2 linked regions of the Caenorhabditis elegans genome follow. The protein of the gene in region 1 interacts with the protein of each later gene in a pairwise test. Each region holds a gene or a part of one and is shown in the gene's direction. Other genes may lie near its edges.

Region 1 (6,113 bases):
TGTACAAATACTCTTCCGATGGCAAATTGTATCCGATGACATACGACGTCTTCCATCCTCCAAAGAGTGGGAATCGTGGACGAATCTCAACGTCAACGCTGTCAGCACGGATTCGTACAGCGGATGTAGAAATGTTTCCGATCTCATCACGATAATAGATATCTTTAGCTTGAGCAGGAAGAACTGTGGTAAACTGTTGGAGTGCTGGTTGGCGACGTCCACGACGGTCCATTTGGTAATCGATTCTTGAGAATGGACCATCAAGCTCAGCTCCCTTGTGAACCAATTCAATGTACTCCTCCACAGCGATGTTTCCCCAGTGAGAAACCTCGATGAATCTTTCCACGATGGTGGCAATAACGAATGGCGAGTTATTTTCATAATGAACTTTGACTGGTTTCGTCTCAAAAGCTGGGATATTAACATATGGTCCGTAGATGACACGTTCCGTTTCTTGTTTCGATGGAGAAACTGTGGTTGCGGATAGAAGCTTGCCTCCTTGAGTGGTTCTAATAGTTGTTTTTTGGGTCACAGTTTCGTACAGGGAAGGAACGTATGCAGATGTGTGAAGAACAACAAATTGACTGTCAGATTGCTGAATCTTGGATGGGAGTGGCTCAAGTACTTGTGTGATACGAAGATTGATTCTTATGGTAACTTTGGCTCCCTTGGCAACAGGAGTTCGGAGGTCTACTTCGTAAACTGCAAGATCCTTTTCGGCTGGTTTTTCAGAAATTTTCAATTTTCCTTTGCTTCCATCGATTCCAGCAGAAATGAAAGAAAGAGTAGCAGATTCTTCTTTAGACAAAGCAATCTGAAAAATAAAGTTGAAATATAGGAAATATAGTGAATTTTCAGGAAAAATATATCTACATACCAAAACTTTCGATTGAGGTCCATTTCCAACGTTCTCAAATGAATACAATGTCGAAACCTTGACAATTTGTGACGTGGCATCGATGGTTCGGTCAACATTAGCGGCTTTCCAAGCGTCTTCAGCGAAAACCGCCCCCAGGAGAGCGATGGCAAATAGCAATCGCATCTGGAAAAATTAGATATACAATCAAAAATGCAGAAAACCCAAAAATGTCATATTAAAACGTTTCAAGAATGAAATTCGACTGATCGAGCAAGACGACATCTATTTGGAATTTAATTAATCAGCTCGTGTTAAAAAATTATCTATTATTACAATCTCAGCACAGAGTAACTTTATTTTGTCACAAAATCATTTAGCAGCAAAAATTCGCATGTACAGACTAGAAAAATGATATTTTTGTTTGGTGAAATCAGCAAAATTCATTATAAGAGCAAATTTCAAGTGTATTATATTGATTTGATGCATAAATTCTGCGAAAATCTATCTTTAAATTACAATAATTTCAGCAAAAAAAAGAGAAAGACGTGGTAAACTCGTCCACGTATTTTGAATCGGAGCCATTCGTGGCGAGACCCACCAGCCGGCATGATGACTGCGCCTTTAAACAAAGTCTGTTCAAATTATCATTTTTTCCGCGAACCGGCGCGGATTTTCAGATTTTCTAATCCAATTGTCATCGTTTTGTTGTTTTTTTATTCTTTTATTCGGATTAGATGTATTTCACTCTTAGTTTCTATTCCTTTTTTCCAAACTCTGACTCTCAAAATAGTTATTTTTCGATGTTTTCATAAAGTTGAAAAATATTCACGTTTTCGAGGGAATTAGTATTTGAATACGCTGTTATAGTTTCTTCGTGACTTAACTGTTTTGTTAATTCTATAAAATTCATTTCGAAATCTCAGCTTCTCTTTCGAATACATATATTTTGAAGGATCGAAAAATGGTGGCGACTACTCAACAGACACCAAAAGAGGCGGACAAAAAGAAAGCCGACGATAAAAAAGTTCCCGAGAAAGCTGAGCCAAAAAAAGAAGAGATGGTTAGTTTAAAGAATAACTATTGTTTAAGCCGTAATGAGACTTATAGCTTATTTATTTCAGAGCGAAGAGGATCAAAAACTCGAGGAGGATCTCAATCTTCTTGTTCAGCGTTTATCTGAACCGGACACAACACTTTACAAGCCATCACTGGAGACTATGCGGACATTGATTCGTGCTTCAACCACATCGATGACCTCTGTTCCAAAACCTCTCAAGTTTATGCGTCCGCATTACAATAAAATGAAGGAGATTTTCACATCGATCGTGGCGCCTGACGTTAAGAAACTTTGCGCAGATATCATTTCAGTGCTCGCAATGACATCAGATGAGCGAACCGACACGATCAACTATCGTATTCTTGGATCACACGAGCCGATCGGGGATTGGGGACATGAATACGTTCGTCATTTGGCGATGGAAATGTCAGAGGAGTGGAAGAAGGAAGGCACTTCGGATGCGAGAAAAGCTGAACTCCTTAAGTTGACTCAGGATATTGTCAGCCATCACATGAAACACAACGCAGAAGTTGAAGCGTGCGATTTGCTCATCGAAATTGAGCGTATTGATTTGCTGATCTCTTATGTCCAAGAAGTTGATCACCAACGTGTGTGCCTTTATCTTCTTTCATGTGCCCCATTGACTCCAGACCCGGATAACATTATTCTTATTCGCACTGCTCTCCAACTCTATTTGAAATTCAACCGGTATCTTGAAGCTGTTAGATGTGCTATCATGGTCAACGATATTCCACAGGTTCATCAAATATTTGCGAAGGCATCTGACCCGTAAGTTAAATATAACGTCTCTTACTTTCCTAAAGAAAAGTTTTCAGATTGCTTCGAAAGCAAATGGCTATCTTGCTCGGTCGCCATCAGATTTTCCTTGACTACGAGGGATCTGCAGATTCGGATGCTCTTGCCGAACTGAATTCCAATGCTCATCTCTATGAATACTTCCACTCCTTGGCTCGTGAGCTCGACATTATGGAGCCTAAAACTCCAGAAGGAATTTACAAATCTCATTTGGAACATTCCCGGCCATTCGGAAACTCTGCTCAGCCAGACTCTACTCGCATGAATCTCGCCGCTGCGTTGGTGAATGGATTCGTGAACTGTGGATTCGGAGTTGATAAAATGATGGCTGAAACAGAGGAAGCCTCCAGATGGTTCTACAAGAACAAGGAATATGGAATGCTTACTGCAGCCGCCTCACAGGGTCTTATCTGGAGATGGGATATCGATACCGGCCTGGCACAATGCGACAGATTCTTGTATATCAATGACGATTATATCAAGGCTGGAACCCTTTTGGCTATTGGTATTATTTCCTCTGGAATTCAAGATGCTTGTGACCCTGCTTCCGCACTTCTCCTTGATCATGTTCAATCTGATCGGTCAATTATGAGAGTAGGATCAATTCTTGGACTTGGACTTGCCTACGCTAATTCCAAAAGAGAAACCGTTACAAAGAATGAGGAACGCGGTGTTATTTTCGAGCTCAAGAAAGTTCTTTCTGATCAAAAGCCATCGGCTATTCCTGAAGTTAAAGGACTTGCTGGACTTTCTCTTGGCCTCATTCTTGTTGGAACTGCTGATGCGGAAGCTGCGATGGAGATGCTTCAAGCTCTAATGGATAAAAGCGAAACTGAGCTCACAGATCCAAATATGCGTTTCCTTGCATTGGGAATTGCATTGATCTTCTTGCAAACTCAGGACAAGAGTGATGTGTTTGTCGAAAGTCTCCGTTCACTTCCTGATCCATTTGGAGCGATGGTAAGTATTATTTGTTCTAGATCACCTCGAGTTTTGGCTATTCCCTTGTTCATATCATAATGAATACAATTTCAGGTTTCTACGCTCGTTGAAGTTTGTGCATACGCAGGAACTGGAAATGTTTTGAAAATCCAGAAATTGCTCCATCTCTGCTCTGAACACTACGAGACGCCAGCAGCTGAGAAGAAAACTGCCGCTTCTCGTGGACCGCGTGGACCAGCCCCAGCTGCTGCTACACCTGCTCGTCCTGCTGCGCAACCTGGAAATGTCAACGTCGCTGGCACTCCAGCCCCAACTGGAACACCCGCCGTTGCCCCAGCTGCTCCGAGACGCGACCTTCCAGGAGCCGCAAGTGCTGCTACACCAGGAGCTCCAGAGACTGCTGCCGCCGACGCTACTCCAGCACCACCTGCCAAGCCAGACTTGTCATCGCAACAGGCGGTTGCTGTACTCGGAATTGGTCTGATTGCTATGGGAGATGACATCGGATCTCAGATGGCTCTTCGCATGTTCGGACATCTCATCAGATATGGAGAACCAGTTATCCGTCGTGCTGTTCCCTTGGCGTTGTCACTTCTCTCCGTCTCAAATCCTCAATTGAACATTTTGGAAACTCTGTCCAAGTTCTCTCACGATTCTGACGCTGATACCGCTCACAATGCTATTTTCGCGATGGGACTTGTTGGAGCAGGAACAAACAATGCTCGTCTTGTTGCTATGCTCCGAAACCTGGCTTCTTATCACTACAAGGATCAAGTTTCTCTAATGCTGGTCAGAATTGCACAAGGACTTACTCATCTCGGAAAAGGAACAATGACGTTGAACCCATGGCATTCTGATAGGCAATTATTGTCTCCAAGTGCTTTGGCTTCTCTCCTTTCAATTTGCTTCTCTTTCCTCGACGCCAATAACACGGTTAGTGCAAGATTGATATTTCTACCATAATTTATTTCAAATTTAGATTCTCAACAACCGTCAGCATTACTTGCTCTACACGTTGGTGCTCGCAATGCAACCAAGAATGCTTACCACACTGGTAGAAGACGAAATGAAGCCTGGAAGCTTGAAACAGGTATAATTTTTTTAAAAGTTTCAACTCTCCAATGTGATTTTACAGTTGAACGTTTCTGTTCGTGTTGGTCAAGCCGTTGACGTTGTTGCTCAAGCCGGAAAGCCAAAGACAATCACTGGATTCCAAACTCATACTACGCCAGTCTTGCTTGCCCATGGTGAACGTGCCGAGTTGGCGAACGATGAATGTATGCCATCCTAACATTTGATAATTAATTTTTAACTAAAATATTTCAGATCTCTCTGTGACTCCACATCTTGAAGGATTGGTTATTTTGAAGAAGAATCCAGATTATCAGCCGGTTGTTGTATCAACTAAGAAGTAACCAACAAATTTATGGATCTAATTTATTTTTCTCCCCCTTTTCTCCCATCTAAATTATCCGTTTTGACCCGTTTTATTGTGCACAATCCGATTGCATTCGCTCTCTGCCCGATTTCCCGTTTTTCTGTCAATTTTCCCTCTCCCTCATCATTTTTTCTTTGAAAAAAACGTGTACACTTTAAATTTGAGTGGGACGGTATTCGAGTAAATTATTACTTTCAATCTTATCATCCTGGGTTTTATATATGTATTAATATTTATTGATCACAGGAATTTGAAGATCTTCTAGGTATCCTTATCAAAGTATCGAATATATCAGAAAATCCGTCAAGGTGGCGATTGTTCGACATTAGATTTTCAGCATCGTTCGCATACATCTGGAAATAAAATTTAGAATGTTCAAATGTGAGTTTGGAAATTTTAGTTTTTCAGTTTTTAGAAAAGTTTAATGAATTATTACACTCACCTCAAAAGTAGCCTTTTTATCCATAAAAACATCTTTCATTTCATCAATTTCATTAATAATATCACTTGTCAAATATATAACAACAAGTGTCATAATTGCCATAAAACATAAAATTCCAATAGCAGCAAAATCAGCGATGAAACGAAATTTGTATAAAAATTCGGATGTATTCATAGTTTCGAAAAAACTATAAAGTTTCAAAATTTGATGTATTAAATGGAAAAGTAATAGAAAGAAGAAGCAAATGACCAATACAATTAGACAAAGAATTGAAAACTACAGAAAACAGGTGATAAAAGATAAGAAAAAGTGAAGAGATTTAGAGATATTTGTAGAGACTAACCAGTTTGACGAACTATAGAAGTGAATTGTGTAAACTTTTAGACTTTTTGTGATTCAAAAAAAAACAGTTTGAACATTTGAAATCACAGTATTATTTAAAGGTGCAGTGTTTAGCAAAAAATTATCGTAACGAGACCCGGTCACCATATTTCCGGCACAAAAATCTAACAAATAATGTTATAAGCCCATTTCATAGTTTTTAACATTTCCCACCAAT
Region 2 (4,340 bases), on another chromosome or scaffold:
GTCTCATGGACTGCGAATATTGAAAATGCGAATACTTATTCAAATAATGTGATGCGTACTTCTGCTTTCTGCCAAGATTTTAGATCAAAAATTAACTACGACTCAAAAACTAGGTGAAAGAACAAGTGTGTGCTGGAGCAAATTGATGGATACTTGAGAGAATGAGTGAATCCGCGCGGAAACATTTCCCGCTGTCTCCGCCTTCACTGCCCTTGTTCAATGTAAAACCAAAAACAATGCAAAGTATAGTGGATGGGAAGAGGAAGAAGTATTGGGCAGAAAACATGAAGAGGACACAAACATCTACTGTACGAAAATGATTAAACTTTGAGAAAACGGAAGTGATCGAAACAATTTTGACTAGTTTAATCATACTTATCGAAATTTCAGATAAATGATATTTTGAAATTCGACACCAACAAGAAGGTGAACATTGTGCTTTGTAATCTAACAAATGACAATTCCGGCAGAGGTGCCAATCATTCCTACATTCATTCCGTTCGAACTGACATGTTACACTGCCAACGTTCGCATATTACCCCCCGTTGAATTATCCTTGAATCCACCTTTCCCCTGTTCGTGTTTTACACTCATGTGCGGGAAACTCGGCAAAATTCACATTAGCTCACCTCGTCTCGGAGTTGTGATAATCATCCGCTTCGAAACCTGAGAAAGTTCAAAACTTTAAAGAAAAAATTGAAAAAAGTGTAGAAATAATGCAAGTCATGCATTGAAGTTTCCTAACAGAAAGAATACATAATGGAAGATTGAAAAATGAATGTTTTCTTCTCTTATTCACATGAATATTATCACAACCAGACACATAGCCAGGATAAATAAAGTAAGGTGGAAGTATTTGGTATTTACGGAAGCTTTCAAAGTCAATAAATTATGTTACTATTATCTTCATTATCCCAAACCGTGATCCTCGAAGAATCCTTGTGGAGTTTCTTCTTCTTGAATGAGATCTTGGGCAGCAATCGCCTTCAAAACTTGTTTTTTACTGGTTTCCTGGATTTCACCAGCCAGTAAAAATTCGTCGAGTATGAAGTAAGCTTTTTCGAAGTTGAAGATGATATCCAGCTCACAAACACTTCCAAAATATTTGTCGAGGAGTTCTACGTAACGATGAATGACTTCCAAAGTGATGAGCTCGTTGTCGTTTTGTTCGATGGCGCAGCAGAAATACAGAGACGCGTATCTGAAATTGTTGAGATTAAAAATTGAACGAATTGTTAAGTTTTTGTTTCATTTATCACAAAAATGTCTATTAAACAACTAAATTTGACGCCAAAATATTTTTCATGAATAAAAAACGTAATAACTTCGGATTTAGGTGTGTAACTATAATTTTCAAGAAATTTTGATTATAAACTTGTAAGTTATTTTCAGAAGGAACAATTTTAAGGCATGACAGGAAATGGGAGTTGTTACTTTTGAATATAAAATACGAACCGTTTGTAGACAACTTTCAAATCCTTGTATTCGAGGAACGCACACATTTTCGGTTTTCTCGCCAGAATTTGAGTGATGAGTTCGCGGCAAATTTTCTTCTTTTGCTGAAAATTGAGTGTGAAATTACACATATGAATAGGAAATACACTTACCTTGTCGGGGTAAGCAGTGTACCATTTCTGCAGCCGCAGTTTGCCCTGGCGACTGAAGAGAAGCATGTATTGCATCATGTTTACTGAAAACAAGAGTATGAACAATCGTTTGCAAACTTTAAAACGCTGAAAATACTTAAAAATCAATTGAAAAATTAGATTTTCTGAATAAAACAGACATGTGGCTTCGTCAATAAAAACAACGAAGCTCCGAAAATACGAAACCGCGCGTTGTTTAGTTCTCACCAGAGCGCGCTTGCATTGTCATCATCAACGCTGTATTTTTTTAAATCATTCTTCGTTCTACTTATTTTATATCTTTCAATTGTTTTCTTTTTCAAACGTGGACTTATTATTTTTCATATAAAATCATTATTTTCTAGAATGGGGCAACAACAGTCAGGTTTCGGTGGAAGAGGAAATGACCGCGGTGCCGGAGATGGAGAGAAGAAGGAAAAGAAGAAATATGAGGCACCGATTCCATCTAGGATTGGAAAGAAGAAGAAGGGGTCTAAGGGACCTGACGCCGCTAGCAAACTTCCAGCTGGTAAGTTTCAATCTAGTGTGTATTTTAACTGATGATTCGGTTTTAGTCACACCACATGCCAGATGCCGTCTGAAGTTGCTGAAGAGCGAAAGAATCAAGGATTATTTGTTGATGGAGCAAGAATTCATTCAAAACCAGGAGCGTTTGAAGCCACAAGAGGAGAGACAAGAAGAAGAGCGCGCCAAGGTGGACGAGCTCCGTGGAACACCAATGGCAGTCGGATCACTTGAGGAAATTATCGATGATCAGCACGCCATTGTTTCAACTGTAAGAATCAATATATCGATAATATTTTCTTATTTCAATATTTAGAACGTCGGAAGTGAGCATTACGTCAACATCATGTCATTCGTCGACAAGGAACAACTCGAGCCGGGATGTTCAGTCCTTCTCAACCACAAGAATCACGCCGTCATCGGAGTTCTCTCCGATGATACAGATCCTATGGTGTCTGTCATGAAGCTCGAAAAAGCACCACAAGAAACGTATGCCGATGTTGGTGGTCTTGATCAGCAAATTCAAGAAATTAAAGAAGCAGTTGAGCTTCCACTGACTCATCCTGAATACTACGAAGAGATGGGAATCCGGCCTCCAAAGGGAGTTATTCTATACGGTTGTCCTGGTACTGGAAAAACGCTACTTGCCAAGGCTGTTGCTAATCAGACGTCAGCTACTTTCCTTCGTATTGTTGGTTCGGAACTTATTCAGAAATACCTCGGAGATGGTCCAAAGATGGTCCGTGAGCTCTTCCGCGTTGCTGAGGAGAATGCACCATCAATTGTGTTCATTGATGAAATTGATGCTGTTGGAACAAAACGTTACGATTCGAACTCTGGTGGAGAACGTGAAATTCAGCGGACTATGCTTGAACTTCTCAATCAACTTGATGGATTCGATTCCCGTGGAGATGTTAAAGTTTTGATGGCCACTAACCGCATCGAATCTCTCGACCCTGCTCTCATTCGTCCAGGTCGTATTGATCGTAAGATTGAATTCCCCCTGCCAGATGAAAAAACGAAGCGCCGTATCTTCCAGGTTGGAACAATTTTTTCTAAACATTATATGAAGTTTTTATTTTCAGATCCATACATCTCGAATGACACTCGGCAAAGAAGTTAACCTCGAAGAGTTCATCACAGCAAAGGACGAGTTGAGTGGAGCTGATATCAAGGCTATGTGCACAGAAGCTGGTCTCTTAGCTCTTCGCGAGCGTCGTATGCGTGTCACGATGGAAGATTTCCAGAAGTCCAAAGAAAATGTGCTCTACCGTAAGAAGGAAGGAGCTCCAGAAGAACTCTATTTGTAAATGTGCCCCGTTTTATTTATTTTTTTTGTATTTTCTCTTTCCCAATTTATTTTATTCCCTTTTTGAACGTCCCGTTGCACAAAAACCGATTTAATGTAATTTTAAATCTGGATTGATTGAGGTAAATGATTCATGATGAAAAATATTCGTTTATGTGACATTGGGATTGATGGTTGGTAAGGAAAGTTCATGAATTTAATGAAACTGAAGAAGAAAAAAATGGAGAAAATCGACTTGAAGATTTACCAGTGAAGAAGTTGATGGTTTCGAAGAATAAGAAAATGATGTTACAGTTGAATGTATTTCTTATCACAATAATTGGAAACGGAAAGTTGGGGGAATTTCAGTAGCTAAAAGTGAAACTATAATGAGAAAAGAGAGAACTGGCTGAATTTAAAGATATGGAAATTGGATAGAAAATCGGGAAATTGTATGAAATTTTGTAATAATGAGAGCTGGACGGGGAAAATTACAAATGCACGCTACAGAAAATGATTTGAATCGGAATCTAGAGTGGTCGGAGATCAGCATCCGGATGTGGTTGAATCGGGGTTGGAGTTGAAACGAAGTTCATTGTTGGCTGACCAGAAGGTGTCAGACCAGTGTTGGAGGAAAGCAAGTCGAATGGGCCTGGAATGAAAATCGTTAATTATATTTTGAGAAATAAAAATAACACTTTTTAGCCCGGGATGAAACTGGAAAAATTTAAGAAAATTTTCGTATATTGTAGAAATATCGGCATTTGAATTAAAATTATGCAAATTTCTGGGTCTTGGCACGCCAACAACTTTCCAGCTACCGTACTCGCAATTGTAGTTCCAATTTTAACATTTTTTATATTTAACGTTGAGTTTTTTCAAAATATTCCAATTTTTGTATG

The links.
Region 2: the proteins of rpn-1 (region 1) and rpt-2 interact in a two-hybrid assay, tested with the Caenorhabditis elegans proteins (2 studies listed by BioGRID).

The regions. Positions count from the first base shown.
Region 1 is NC_003282.8:6,905,612-6,911,724, reverse strand, and holds rpn-1 (26S proteasome non-ATPase regulatory subunit 2), read left to right. Parts: upstream 1-1,811; 5' UTR 1,812-1,820; coding exon 1,821-1,919; intron 1,920-1,980; coding exon 1,981-2,705; intron 2,706-2,752; coding exon 2,753-3,692; intron 3,693-3,767; coding exon 3,768-4,607; intron 4,608-4,653; coding exon 4,654-4,764; intron 4,765-4,809; coding exon 4,810-4,951; intron 4,952-5,000; coding exon 5,001-5,089; 3' UTR 5,090-5,305; downstream 5,306-6,113. Other genes in the region: ribo-1 (Dolichyl-diphosphooligosaccharide--protein glycosyltransferase subunit 1), read right to left, coding at 1-814, 878-1,042; T22D1.17 (Col_cuticle_N domain-containing protein), read right to left, coding at 5,346-5,465, 5,555-5,728.
Region 2 is NC_003283.11:6,015,320-6,019,659, reverse strand, and holds rpt-2 (putative 26S proteasome regulatory subunit 4), read left to right. Parts: upstream 1-1,990; 5' UTR 1,991-1,991; coding exon 1,992-2,154; intron 2,155-2,200; coding exon 2,201-2,421; intron 2,422-2,466; coding exon 2,467-3,189; intron 3,190-3,235; coding exon 3,236-3,460; 3' UTR 3,461-3,611; downstream 3,612-4,340. Other genes in the region: picc-1 (PAC-1 interacting and coiled-coil domain-containing protein 1), read right to left, coding at 630-654; aps-1 (AP complex subunit sigma), read right to left, coding at 910-1,201, 1,456-1,559, 1,608-1,685; Transcription factor fos-1, read right to left, coding at 3,969-4,090. UniProt on the Caenorhabditis elegans protein: The 26S proteasome is involved in the ATP-dependent degradation of ubiquitinated proteins. The regulatory (or ATPase) complex confers ATP dependency and substrate specificity to the 26S complex.